Linked DNA regions of Drosophila melanogaster. The protein of the gene in region 2 interacts with the protein of the main gene of each other region in a pairwise test. Each region holds a gene or a part of one and is shown on either strand. Other genes may lie near its edges.

Region 1 (7,185 bases), on a different chromosome or scaffold from region 2:
AATCGTGGCCACACAAAAAGCAGTAGAGGCCAGGCCCAAAAAGATGGCCACTGACTTAACCGTCAGCCCTAAAATGAGTTCACATTAGTTACTGTTCCTTCGGGATATGCTACTCTATATAGAAGACTCACAGGCAACCATTTTTAGGGATATTCTTTTTTCGATGAAAATTACTCGACTGCTTCCACTAGGCTGGAAGCCAAATTGGAAACTGAATGCAAGTTGCGAATCTGACCCCACAATTTGGACTTGATAAACCTGATCAGATTGCTGACCGATATCTAGACTATATACTATATAGCTTCGTGTCCAGATAAAATCGTTTTATGCTAGACCATTACTTTTACGATTCGAACAAGGCCATATATCGACTATTATGACTGGACACTCTAATTACTCAGGATAATTACGCATGGTCATGATTCCGCATTGACCATATACTCAAAGACCCTATCTCCAATTATTTCCTAGAAGCTATAGAAATCCCCACTTGCCTCGGATAAAATGAATGAAAATATGGGGGTTGTATTTATGGTTTGATTTTGAAATTTCATTTTATTGAACTCGAACGGAATTTTCGCTTATGCAACTCTAATTATTGGCTAAATGGCCAGTTTATATACAATATACAATTTTACAATTGGTTTTTCTTGGTCAGCGGCGAGGCCGTTCCACTTAGCCAGTCGGTGATGTCAGCTTCGTTTCTGGATAGCCATTCGATGTTGTACTTGATGGTTTCCACGGCCTCCAACCGGGAGTTAGCTCCAGCTCCCGATTCGGGGTACTTGGAGAAGAAGTGCTGAACCTCCTCCAGTTTCACGGAGCTGGCAAAGTTGGCCGTAATCTGGGCGATAAGTCGTCCAAAGTTGCGGTTGTTCAGGCCAAAACGGGTGGTGAGTTGGGGCCACTGTTCGCGGTAGAATTCCCAGACCACCGGTTCACCCACAGGATTGGCGGCTATGTACTGCACACAGGTGAAATAGTCCTGGGAGCGAACGATGCTCTCATCACTGGAGGCCTGTGCCAGGAAGTCGAACAGATACTGGCTGTTCCGTACGCCAGACAATCCGTACATCAGCTTCAGTTTCTCGCTGGCATCGGTTTCGGCCACAAAGAGTTGGAACAACTGATCCCAGCTCGATTGGCTGGTGGACTGCTGCATGCCGTAGTAGTAGACAATCTCGCGAAGATCGGGGGAAGGTCGAGTGGTCGGATTCTCCAGGAAGGTGCTGAAGCGCTCGGAAGCCTGCTGCAGACAATCTGGAACACCCAGGGCACAGGCGGCGGTCAAAATGGAAACACGCAGGCGGCTGCAAAGGAATAAAGATTGTTTGAATAACAGTAGTTTGAGTAATGTTTTCAGAAAAACAAGTTGGTACTTATATACGTACTTCTTCAAGTGATTGTCGGCGTCCACAGTCCAACCCACCTCCTCGTATACGCCAGCGATCAGACTTCTGGCATAGGTGAGGTACGACACGTATCCCTCGCTGAACATGAGACTGCGATGGAGCGACCTCAGCTTATTGGAGGCCACATACCAGGGCACGAAGTCGCGCTCCTGGGCCAAGTAAGCGGTCATATCCAGAGGAATTTTGTAGGATAGTTGGTTGGCATCCGCCAGGGCGAAGGCATCGTTCAAAAGATGGCCACGATCGGCGATTTCGAATCGAGCGGGACTGGTGGTTAGCTGCTGGATGAGCAGGGCCCACAGGCTCTCCTCGTAGTTAACCCGATAGTAGCCCGTTTGGTTGACATTCAACTTGATCCACTGCACCTCGCTGGGCACGGCAATACCCACAGAGTCCACATCGTAGTCGTATATGAAGCTGTTCTCTGAACCATCATCAGCAAACCAGGTAATCGGAACACTCCATTTGTATCCGTATGCGCTATCTGAAGGGGCTTCCTCGTAACTGGCTGGATTGGAGAGGAATCGCTGCTGGGTAACCTTAAAACTACCATCTGCAACCTTGGAGACATTCAACACCGGATAACCCATCTGTTCGGTCCAGGTGAGCATCAGTTTCTTGATATCCAAGTCAGTTACCACAGCTTCGACTTCGGTGAGGAAATCGTCGGTCACCGTGTTATTGAACTGATGCTTGACCAGGTAATTGGTCACCGCCTCCTCAAACTTTTCGGCGCCCACAAGTGTCTCCAGCATGCGGATCACGGATCCTCCCTTTTCGTAACTGATGGTGTCGAATATGGCCGTAATTTCATCGGGGCTTTCTACCTTCTGGACAATCGGATGGGATGATAGCTTGGCATCGTATAACAACACGGGTTGCAGGGCCACGATTTGGAATTGCTCCAGCTGATTGGTAAATATAAGATATTTTCTTTGAGGATTCAAATCGGTATTATCCATTTCCTTACCATTCCCCAGTCCGGGTGCACAGCATTGACTCCCTTGTACTGCATGTAGCGGGCGAATCCCTCGTTCAGCCACAGATCGTTCCACCACTTCATGGTGACCAGGTTTCCGAACCACTGGTGTGCAATCTCATGGGCCAGTGTTCCGGCTATCGATTGTTTGTTCGCTGTGGAACTGTAACTGGGATCGTACAGCAGAGCGGTCTCTCTGTAAGTCACCAATCCCCAGTGCTCCATGGCCCCAGATGCAAAGTCGGGAATGGCGGCCATGTCCAGTTTGGTCAGCGGATAGGGCACCTTATAGTACTGAATATAGTACTCCGTGACAGCTTGTCCGAACTCCAGAGCAAACTCGACCTTGTTGATCTGATGCGAGGTGGCATAGGCTTGCATGGAGAAGTCCTCGCCAATTCCGTTGGCCTTCACCGTGGTCGATTGGGAAGCGAAGTCGGACACAATGATGCATACCAGGTAGGTGCTCATCGACACACTCGTCTCGAAGATGGCCTCAGTATAGTCACCCAGATAATTGGATTCCTATTATTTAAATTTTGTTTAACCCATTTAAATTGTTTGTTTACTTGAGCTCACCGTTTGTTGCATGTTGGAAACGGCGTGGTAGGATCCCGATGGATGAACCACTGTAATGGCGAATGTGGCCTTCATGGCTGGTTCATCGAAGCATGGGAAGGCCTGACGCGCGTAAGTGGGTTCGAATTTCGTCGTAGAAATGGTTCTGCATAAGGAAAATATTAATTTATATATTGAAAAAGTATTCAAATAAAAATTCAAAACAAAACAACAAATCCAGATCTGGTCATAAGAACACATTGCATACTTTTGGGCATAACGTAAAAATATCCGAAATACCTGGTAGCTCCTGCCTCGTTTAGATATGTACTGCTGTAGAGACCCACAAGCTTATCCTTCATCTGTCCACCAAAAATGATTCCGAGAGTAATGCTGGCGTCCACCGCCAGCTCTTCCGTCAAAGTTATGATCAGGAACTGACGTTCCTCCTCAAGCTCAAACTTTTCCACCTCTCTATTCAGCACATAGACACTTGTGATATCCAGGAGATATGAGTGCAGAATAATCTGATTAGTGGCCTCCACCACCTTGATGCTGATCCTCTGTTGTCCGGTGAAGTTTCCTGTCTCCAGATCCGGATGCCAGTAGAGCTCGTAGTGCGTGGGCACCAGATTCGTGGGCAGGCGGTAATCCGTCTTCAGGGTTAGATTATGGTAGTAAATGGATTCAACTGATTAGCAAGTGATTACACACCGTATCTTCACGCTTCATGCGAGTGCGGCTCTCTCCGCTCCACTCCTCGAACACATCGATCTTGTCCTGCACATCGCGGAGGTCCCTTTCCAGCTGAGCCTTCTGCACCGCCACCACAACCGTGGCCGTGGCAAAGGCCACCACCGCCCAGGAGAGCACCACCTGCAACCAATAGCCACTGAGGAACATCTTAGCAATCGCACCTGTCGCGAGCGACTAACTAGCGTTAGGTCATTCGAACCAACTCTTACCACTTGTTGCCCAATATTCGATTAGTTGATAGTGTGTGCACTGGAAATGGTTTATGTTCGCTTCGGCGATTGCGATAGTGATTGGCCAAATTGACGCGATTACGGTCAAATGGGCGATAGGGTTAAAGCCAGAGAAAGTGGGAAAATACGGAGCGGTAGGGTATGAATTCGCGTGGCTTATGACACCATAATTGTGCTATGGGTTTAATAACATCATTTAAGCCACTTTTACTCTTTCCCTAACGCAAATCTGTGCTATTGGTAATTAGCCATATTAATTAGATTCTCTCCACATCACTGAGAAAAATAGAAAAAAGATTTTTATTTTACATATTCATTGCTTAATAGAACTATTAAAGATTAAAAGTCTGCGTATATTGCTCAATTTGGTAAATATTTTAGTTTTAAATGACTTTAGATAATTTAAAAGGCGTAACAATAAAACTATAAAATTATATTTCAATCAATTAATGGGGGTTTATCATATATGAAGTAAATTTCCATTGGATGTCAAATTTAGTGCGAAAATTTGGACGTGCAATAAATGTCAATCAAAAGTTTTCGTGTCCAATAGTGGCACCCACCCAAACTTGATTATCAACCCATGTTACCAATCAGTCCAATGGATAATTGCTTATTTATGGAGGTGTAATTTCAGTTTTTCCAATAACTAAGCTTATCTTTATTTCCACTTGTTCGGCAAATTTTTGCTTTATAATGGCAATTAGATGAGTACATGTTTAATGGTAACCATGGTCGCAAGACCACTTCCTTGGACTTTTTACAGTGGCTGCTTGTCCAGCCAGGCGTCCACACCCTCCAGGTTCTCGGCCAGCCAAACAATGTTGTTCTTAACCGTTTCCAGAGCTCTCACCCGGGCAGCTGTGCCGGCTCCAGCTTCCGGATATTTGGCGAAGAATTGCTCCATCTCCTCCAGCTTGGTTTGGGTGCTAAAGCGGGCAGTGATCGAGGGAATCAGGTTGCCCAAATAACGCTCGTTGAGTCCGAATCGGTCCACCAGTCGCTGCCAGTTCTCCCGGACATAGTCCCAAACCAGGGACTCACCAACTGGATTCGCAGAGATGTAGGTAAGGCAGGTGAAGTAGTCCTGACCCCTCACGTATTCCTCGTTCCACGCCAGGTCAATGTAGCGCTGCAAAATCCAGGGAATCTGGATGGCAGACAGGCCATACATCAGTTTGGACTTCTCGCTGGCATCGGATTCGTTGACGAACAGCTCCCAGACTGCATCCCAATCCTCCTGGCTTCCAACGGACTGTATTCCGTAGTAGTAGACAGTTTCACGGACATCGGCCTTTGGACGATCCTCCGGCTTGGCCAGCCATGCGTTGAACTGCTCTCCGGCTTCAGTGAGACAGGATTCCAGACCCAGAGAACAGGCGGCACTCAAAGCAGTGACACGAAGGCGGCTAGAGATGCAGGGGAATGATATAAAAAATACACACATCTCTTAAAGAATCTACCCACTTATCCAAATGATCCTCGCCGACTGTCCAGGTGAGTGCGGTATAGATGGGCTCAATCAAAGCTGTGGCGTACTTCTTGTACTTGGCATAGGTGCTGGTGTAGTAGAGTGTTCTCTTAAGCGAAGTCAGACGGGAAGCAGCCACACTCCAGGGAACATAATCGGTCTCCTTGTCCAAGTATCTGGTCAACTCGAAGGCCGTTGCATAGGGCAACTGAGTGGAATCGGCCAGGGCAAAAGCATCGTTGAGGAGATGAGCGCGATCCACAGAGCCGAATGCACTTGGTTGTACCACCAACTGATCGGCCAGATCATTCCACAGATCGGTATCGTAATTAACGCGATAATAGCCCACCTGATCGGCGTTAAACTTAATCCACTCGACGGCAGCGGGAACAGTTACAGTGACTGTCAAACAAAATATATAACAAGTTAGAGATCAAAGATCTGGGGAGCCGTGCTCCAGCATACAGACGACACCACTTACTTTCGCTCTGGTCATGATAAAACCACAGACGCTGCACCACCGAATCCGAGCTGGTGAAATATGTGATGGGGATCGACCAACGGTAGCTATATAATGTATGTGCGAAATTCGCGATCAGATAGCGTCCAGGCAATAAGTTCTGCACACTCACTTGAATTCCGAGGGCTCGTGATCGGCGTCATAGTCGTTTGGATTGGACAAGAAGCGCTTCTGCGTCAATTTGTATTCCGTATCGGACACCTTTTCGATCGTGACCACTGGCAGACCCATCTGCAAAAAAGGAATGGGGTGTTGAAATATTCGCGAACTTAGAAGTAAACGTCTATGTGTTTACCTGCACCGTCCATGTTAGCATAATCTCTGTGACATTGTATCCCAATTCCAGTTTGTCGATCTCTGTAAAGAAGTTACCCGTTTCCGCCGTGGAGTACTTGTACTCATTTAAATAATTGGTAACCGCCTGGCGGAAGGTTGTCTCCCCCAGGAAATCCTCCAGCATTCGGACGAGAGAGGAACCCTTGGAGTACGTGATGGTATCGAAAATCTCCGTGATCTGGTCCGGATTTTCCACGGTCTGGATTATCGGGTGGGATCCGAGGGTTCCGTCCAAGGTGAGTACGCTGTGCAAAGTGCTCACCGTGAATTGATCGCGCTATTGATATGATATGTAAATAAGTTGGATGTAACCTTAATTAACCTAGGTGCACTTGCCATTTTCCATTCTGGATAGACGGCATCTACGCCCAAGTACTCAACGAAACTAGCAAATCCTTCGTTTAGCCACAGATCGTTCCACCAGTTCATGGTTACTTATGGAAGATAATTGGAGTTACGGTTAAGAATACGAATTCCGATCTATGCAAACCGCCATTTAGCTTACCCAAGTTTCCAAACCACATGTGAGCGAATTCGTGGGCAATTACGCTGGCGATGCGCTGCTTGTTGGTGGCGGAACTCGTGGCTTCGTCGTACAAAAGCGATGTTTCCCTGTAGGTGACCAATCCCCAGTGCTCCATGGCGCCCGAGACGAAGTCGGGAATAGCAGCCATATCGAGTTTGGGCAGCGGATAAGCGATTTGGAAGTAGTCAATGTAGTACTCGATGACTCCCTTGCCAATGGTCACAGCCAGATCCACTTTGTCGAGTTGCTCCGGAGTGGCGTAGACACTCATGGAGAAGGTTTCTCCAATGCCCTTAGTGTCAATGCTCACCTGCTTGTAGGCGAAGTCGGAGACAATAAAGCAGGCCAAGTAAGTGCTCATGGGAACACTTTTTGCAAACGTGACCTCCTGGAAGGC
Region 2 (7,185 bases):
GTTGTTTATACTAAGCAATAAAAAAAAGGGAGTAAATTAAAGTTACTTTTAAATTGGGATTTAGCCATCATATAGATTACCTTGTTCTCAAAGTACTTGACTTGCTGCAGGTTTCTGGGATAACCATCTACGATAATTCCAGTTCTATCCCGTAACTGGCGCAGATTGGTTTCCAGCAGCTGATTCAGCGACTTTTCTGGGGCCATATCCCCAGCGGCCAAGGCTTCCTTGACGGCGAAGCTTTCCGTATTGGCACGTGGTGCAGAGTCCGTGATATTGCGCAAAAGACGACCGACACTTAAAAAGTAGTATGCCAGTTTAAGCAAAATTATATAATGAGCACATCCAATGCAACATACCTGATGTGAGCCCAGCCAGGATTTAGTCCCACAGCCTTGAGGCAGAGTGTGGCCTTGTTGCTGCCCGGACCGCCGATCACCCATATAATAGGTGGCAAATCCGATCCGGATTCGTCTGGTCCAGCAGCCTGGCGCAACTTTGGCTGCTGAGTGACCACAACACCGCTGTCATCGTCCGCACTGGTGGTGCCCGTTTTCAGAGCTGTCACGGCTCCATTTGGCCCACCATCCATCCGTTCGATCGCCAAATCTCTGGCCAAAACTGTTCCCGCAGTTTCCGAGGCATTGGTAACGTCGTTGTCTTCTGCAATTTGAGTCCCTTGTTGGGCTTGACTTGGTGCGGTGTCTACGCTAACTATACTGCCGGGTATATCATGTATCCCTCTGCCCATACCTGTAACTCCATTCATAACGGCCTCTTGGTTCTCGAGGGTGCTCAGTATATCGAGGACGGCGGTGCGAAAGTCTTTGTATACCTCTGTGGGCGCACGTTCGCCATTTACCTGTAAAATAAAAAGAAAGCAATTAACATATATTATTGATATGATCATTATTGCAATGCACAAAATACTTACGGCCAACAACATGTCGCTCTGATCGAAATAATCGGCGACTGGCATCACATTTTTAAAGAAATTTTCTAATTCCATTTTGGCTAAGGAGAGTACTACATGACCTAATTTGGCCCCATAATCGATTTGCTTTTGTAGAACCGATTGGCGCCAGGATATAAGAATCACGCCATTCACGACTTGAATCTGAAAGGAAGTAGAAAAAAAAAACCAATCAAAGAAGATTAATTTTTATTTATGACTCCAAATTGTTATGTCCTACTTATGCAATATGTAGGTCTATATACCATAGTTAACGCCATGTGCTTGAAACTCCCCAAGTGCCGTTTGCACCCAGTCTGTCCAATTAGCACTTGCATATATAATATAGGAGTCACCGTAAATCCATGGGAATTATGGCCAAATAAACACACTGTCGCCGACTCATTTGCCAGTTAATTAGTTGAAATAGTTCAGCAGCAATTTACTGGGCAAATAAAGAGTGCGGCAATCAAAATGGCTTCACAATAATTGGGTGAGCTGGTGGGGAAGACAGCGAAAAATAGTCGGTTGCGTGGAAAATTACCTTTTCAGAATACTCGACAACGTCGCGCATGGAGCGTGGATATCCCGATATCAGGTATGCTTTGGCAGCTGGAGCCATTTTCATTTCCAACATCAGCACCTCAGTGACTGTTTTCGACGACAGTTGTGAAAAGTCTTGCATGTCTGTGGGCAAATCATTTAATAGACAATTGGCAACGGATTACGTCGAAAGTGTCTAAAAGTATGCAGCACTATATTATAAAGTAGTTTATATTGCAACAACAGCTGTCTCTCCTCAATAGCATACTTGTATATACCTTCTGTCTTCATTTACCACAGATATCTTACCATTGCCCATTGCATATTGCTGGAGGAGATCCATCATATTGATGTGCGTTACACCGCGTCGCTCCTGCATGAAGGTATCGCAATGGGTGACCTTGCCACTACCGGGGCCGCCTAAAACAAATATCACTGGCACTTTGGGCGGATCGAATTTGATTTTTCCAGCATTTTGCATATCGATAGCGCCGACATTGGTAGAACCCAATCGTCCTGCCGCCGCAGCGGCCTCCAAATCGCCAGCATTTTGGCCATTTCGATTCCGTGTAAGATTCCAATCGTTGCCTGGTTCGCCGGTATCTTGTGCCGCGCTGGCATCTAATTATATTTAAATAAATTATTTTAAATTTACAATAAAATGTAATCGGTCTAAAATACGGAATTTAAATTAAATATTCAATAGAAAGCAATAATATACCAATTCTCCGATTTTTACAGGCAATTTAATGGACTGTATCTCATTAGTTAAGTGTTTTTAAAACCCATGGAGAAGCAACAGTTGACTTCGGCAAAAGCGCAGAAATTTTTCAAACCGGAAACCGGATGTGTTGGCAAGTTAGCGCAAGGAAACCGGGGACCGGAAAAAGGCAAGGGCAGACATAACGTGCCAAGTTGGCATTAGCCATTAGCCAGCCTTCACCGAGGCCGGAAGCAATTTGCCAGGAGTAGGAAATTAGTGACAGAAACCACACGCACTCGATGGGTGGAAGGGAGCTAGGGATCGAAACAAATCGCAAAGCCCATCATTAAAACATGTTTAACAATTATTTAATTGTATGGCAACCGTGTTTAGTATAGAATGGCGTCACCGCTGAATTCATTCATGGAAAATCAGCTGCAGCATGGCGATTCCATAGCATTCAATACCGTACACATACCCCTCTAAATTTCCCCATAGAAATTTTACGTCTGCCCACCCGCGGAACCAGTTCAGTCCTTGTGACATTTTTATTGATTTTCCTGCAGTTTTATTTAATTGACATGTTTTGTTATTGTTGCTATCCCTTTTCGTCTCGGGGATTTCCCCATTTGTATCGCTATTCTTTTTGTTTTTGTGCGTGACGCTAGTTTCAGGATTTATGTGTACTAGCTTCGGTGGTCAACGAACATGTCCAAGGACCTGGCAGCCATGGAGGCCAAAAGAGTCCAAGTTCCGATACAAATTATACCGTTGGGCAAGGTCTCGATTTTGATATAACGCTAGGTGTACACATATAAAAGCAACGTTTTGTCACAGATAATTGTTTTTTCTTTCAATAAATTTCAAGCAAAGTGATTGCAGTAATTTCAATTGAAACTGTCCTTTGAGTTGTGGTCAATTGAATATGTCACCGAGACTAAAAAGAGTTACGTTATGATATGGGGATCATTTTGTAGTCAATTTTTATTTCTGTTCCTATATTGCTTTTAAATTTATATAGTTCATGTAACCAACAATGGTATCCCGAAAGTATGCTGCAAAATAGTTAATATTTTTCAGTGATCAGCTAGAAGCTATTCTATACATGTAGACCGACTTTAATTGATTGCCATTGAAAATTCGTGGTCACAAAAACCCATGAAGTTTCTATACCGTGTTTCACCTGTCGTGTTCGCCTGCGCGACTCATTAGGGTTCTTTTTGTTATCTTTGGCCGTGGAGAGGCAATGCTAATCTTTGATTACAAATCTGCTGCATGTGGCATTACTCACCTGTGTCTAAACAAATACCCATTATCCATTCGGTGGCCAGTATAGCTGAATTTTCGCAATAGTGTTTTCCCTACCGCACACCACCCACACACACTCTAGCCCACACACTTGCAACTTTAAAATGATTATCTCGTTGAAAATAAAAAGTAGAAGAAGGATCAGTTCTCAATGGAAATTGTTTAGAATTCCACAAATGTTTTGCATTCTATAACTTCGACTGTCCATGACTACCGTGAGTGAAATTCGCTCGATATATATTATAAATATGTGTACATTTATTATTGGTATCTCTGGGATACTTGTTCTCGCGCTTTATCGTCGGCAACACGCACCACAACGAACTACATGACGTTGCCGGTTTTAGTGTTTTGATTCCTGCATTAGCCGCGAACTCGACCGATTTGTGTACCGATTTTCGATTTCCGAGTGCGCTACACGGTGCCACAGTTCAGCAGTTCAGCGGTTCAGCGGTTGTGCAGTTCAACAAACCGAGCACGTACAACTCGACGAACGTCCGAAACGAAACTGAGTTTCAGAATTGACAACTGGCTCGGTTTTTAGCTCTACGAGCACCGGTTCCCCTGGTCACTATTCCAATTAATGAATACTTTATGAGCAGCGGTTCCAGCAGTTTCATACCACCAATGCAGTTCCAGTTTGGCGTGGGTGGTCGGGATTTCCTTGTCCTGCCCGATTGGAAGTCTCACGCACGACCTTAGAATACCTATGTGCCCCCATCAGAAATCCACCTCACATGTCTGTGTCATTCATGGGCCGCCATTTGTTTATGCGCTCCAAACAAAGTGTCCTGTGTCCTGGAACCAGCGGTGCGTTTCTCATACATCCTGCACACACATGTGCGGGCTCTCTCGCGTATGTGGCATGGTTTTTAAAACATTTTCCAGGTTTTTTTTGTTTTGTTTTCCGTGCTGGCGTGCTGGTGTCCTGTCGTCTATGCCGTTTGTTGTTGGCGGTAAGCCTTCCGTTTTCATAGGTGTAAATAAATCCTTAGACTTGCAGCTGTTCAAGTCAAGAGACTATATACACCCAGATTATGTGGTTCAAAAAAATAGTTACAGTTCCAAGACTTAAGATTTTCGATTTAAACTAATTGATTTCTGCATTTAAGCAAATATTGCTGAATGATCGAAATTATATACAATATAAGTTTGGATATAAGATATTTTTTAACATTGAAAGCTTTCCTTGTAAGTTATAAAAAAATTCATTTTCTAAATTTAAATAAATAAATAATTAAATATTTTTTATAATTTGAAGTTATGATAAATGTCATTTGGTTCGTTTCGAAAGTGTGTTCACCCATTATGAGTCTGCCATAGGGTATGTGTTCATTGTAAATCACTTTCATGACATCGATGGCGGATAAATTGCGCAGTCATGGCGACCCACAGTGACAAGAGCCCCAAATTGATAAATCCCGTGGGGCGGCGAGTGGTGACATAGGGTTGGATTCCTTATACAGTAGTTGGGAATTGGAACACTGGGCTGTTAGATGTGCAGTGGGCGTGCCTTCAATTAATATTTCACACTATTAATTGACGTTAATTATTTAGTTTACTTCTGGTTGCAGTTCAATGATACCTCTTTTTTTTGGGAGGGAGGGGGGAGGACTAGACGCAATGTGTGGACAGCTGTCAAAATTTCCAAAATGTGTTCAATTAAAATTCTATTGGATTCGCTGGGGGTTTTTTGAAGTTGACACTGGACGGAGGGAACAGGTGTAATAGACCCGTCAAGGACACTCGAAGAAGTTCAAAGCTCAAGGAAACTTCATATCGATCAAATTGGTCTCATATCGATCCATGGACAACCACAGATGCGACGCCTAATTTCTTGGAATTTGTGACATGTCATGTGCCGTCGACACAAGGACGGCAACAACAAAGATAACAACAGCCGAATTGACCAAAACGAACCACCAGCCAACGAACCAATTGACATTGAACCCACACCTGACCAGCAGTTCTGGGTTTGCTTTTCCAGCTTATGCGTAAGGCAAATCCTTGCAATGACCACAGCAGTGGAACTGGGGAACAGCCGCAGCTCGTGTCCCGTGCTCGTCCTTGGGCCCTCTGGGCGGGTCCTTTGGCTATTAAATCCCCTTTTCAAGCTTAATTAAGGCTACGCGTTTTGGCCAACGTGTGTACACAATGACAGACGGGGGCGGCCAACTTAGGGTTAAGCAACTCGAACCGAACATCTGTGATTAAGGACACTGGCTAAGGAGACCCTTTGTTGGCGTAAAGTGCGTTGAAAGGATGAGAAATTATGAAAACACCAACAATCGAATTATATGTGCTGTCCAATAAATTATTTGAGCACATCCGAAAAAAAAGGGTGAGATATATATTGATGATATATACCAGTACGTCATGTAAAATAATTATTTTGTCATAATTTGAACTTAAGCCACAACTCATTTGGTTTAAAAAACAAGGGTTCCGTTAAGTTGAATTGATCTATTTATATAATTGGATGAAACTAACAATGAAAATCTCTTGGCACCTGAGCGAGCATTTATAAATAGATGCCCCACAATCAGAATTACTTCAGTCCTTGCCGGTTTATTAACTCTGAACTGAATGTCCTTCAGGGCCTATTTGGGCCTAATGCGGCCATTCAAAGGTGATTAGGGGCTTGAGTAAAATATTTACACATCTCGTACAACCAGCCACACTACTAATTGGCTTAGAATTTCTTTTTTTTTTTTTTTTGATACCCATGCACCTTGAGCCATCCTGATATGGTCAGATATAAATTCTTAATTATCAACTGTGAAGTTCCCAAAGGCGGGCGTGTCAAACGAATTGAAAAACCCCGATGGCTATTGGGTACATTCATGCTTTCCTTTTCGAACTTTTAACTATTTGAATTTTTGATCAGAATTCTTAAGCATGTTTTTTGTTTAAGTATAAATATTGATTCCGCCGAAGGACATAGACCGGGTTTTACCTTCAAATGCCGTTAAGCAACAATACTCCGCAGAACGAATTTATTTACTTAACATAAAACAGTATAATATAATATCACTGGTCATAAATTCTACAAGTTGATTTGACTAAATACTACCGACTAAATTGTGCACTTCAACGATTAGCCTTTATTCGACAGTTAGCCAGTGGGCAAATAAGCCTGATTCTCATAGCCAGCGAAATTGCCCAATACCATTGATATGCGAGATGGTGAGTGCTGAATTCCATTTCCGGATTTATCGTCTAATCCATTAGTTTGACCATTTGATTTCGCACTGGTGGGCAGTACGAAATTTGCATTTCGACAGCGTCGATGGAGGAATAATCTCAGTTTGAAGAAGGCAAAGAGCAGCACATAAATGCAACAGGACAACAAAAGTACGCCAACTACCGTGGTGAAGGCATTTTGAGGTTTGCTCCAGTCAATCACATAGTAGATATAAGGTTTGCCTTTCCTATAGAGAATGACATATCTTTAAATCGTATCACATTTTATGTGGTTATAGATAAAAACTCACTTATTAATGCCACCGCACAAATGATAGATATAGGAAAAGATGGCAAACACAACTCCGAATAGTACTGGCAGAAATATATGCAGCAAACGCAGGGGATGAGCTACAATCCACAGATCGATGAACATGCAAATCGAGTTGAATGCATGAGTGAGTACATTTGTGGCATCCAAGGCGCTTTCATTAGC

Evidence for each region.
Region 1: the proteins of CG9541 (region 2) and CG8774 interact in a two-hybrid assay, tested with the Drosophila melanogaster proteins (one large-scale study listed by BioGRID).

The regions. Positions count from the first base shown.
Region 1 is NT_033777.3:13,295,681-13,302,865, reverse strand, and holds CG8774 (uncharacterized protein), read right to left. Parts: upstream 3,887-7,185; 5' UTR 3,853-3,886; coding exon 3,664-3,852; intron 3,606-3,663; coding exon 3,250-3,605; intron 3,116-3,249; coding exon 2,971-3,115; intron 2,917-2,970; coding exon 2,383-2,916; intron 2,321-2,382; coding exon 1,392-2,320; intron 1,311-1,391; coding exon 635-1,310; 3' UTR 532-634; downstream 1-531. Other genes in the region: CG8773 (uncharacterized protein), read right to left, coding at 4,696-5,344, 5,403-5,808, 5,888-5,973, 6,039-6,157, 6,222-6,539, 6,599-6,696, 6,768-7,185.
Region 2 is NT_033779.5:8,971,421-8,978,605, forward strand, and holds the start of CG9541 (uncharacterized protein), read right to left. Parts: upstream 3,557-7,185; 5' UTR 3,512-3,556; coding exon 3,490-3,511; intron 2,117-3,489; coding exon 1,805-2,116; intron 1,640-1,804; coding exon 1,497-1,639; intron 1,118-1,496; coding exon 935-1,117; intron 863-934; coding exon 360-862; intron 298-359; coding exon 81-297; intron 11-80; coding exon 1-10. Other genes in the region: CG13101 (uncharacterized protein), read right to left, coding at 6,622-6,937, 7,001-7,184.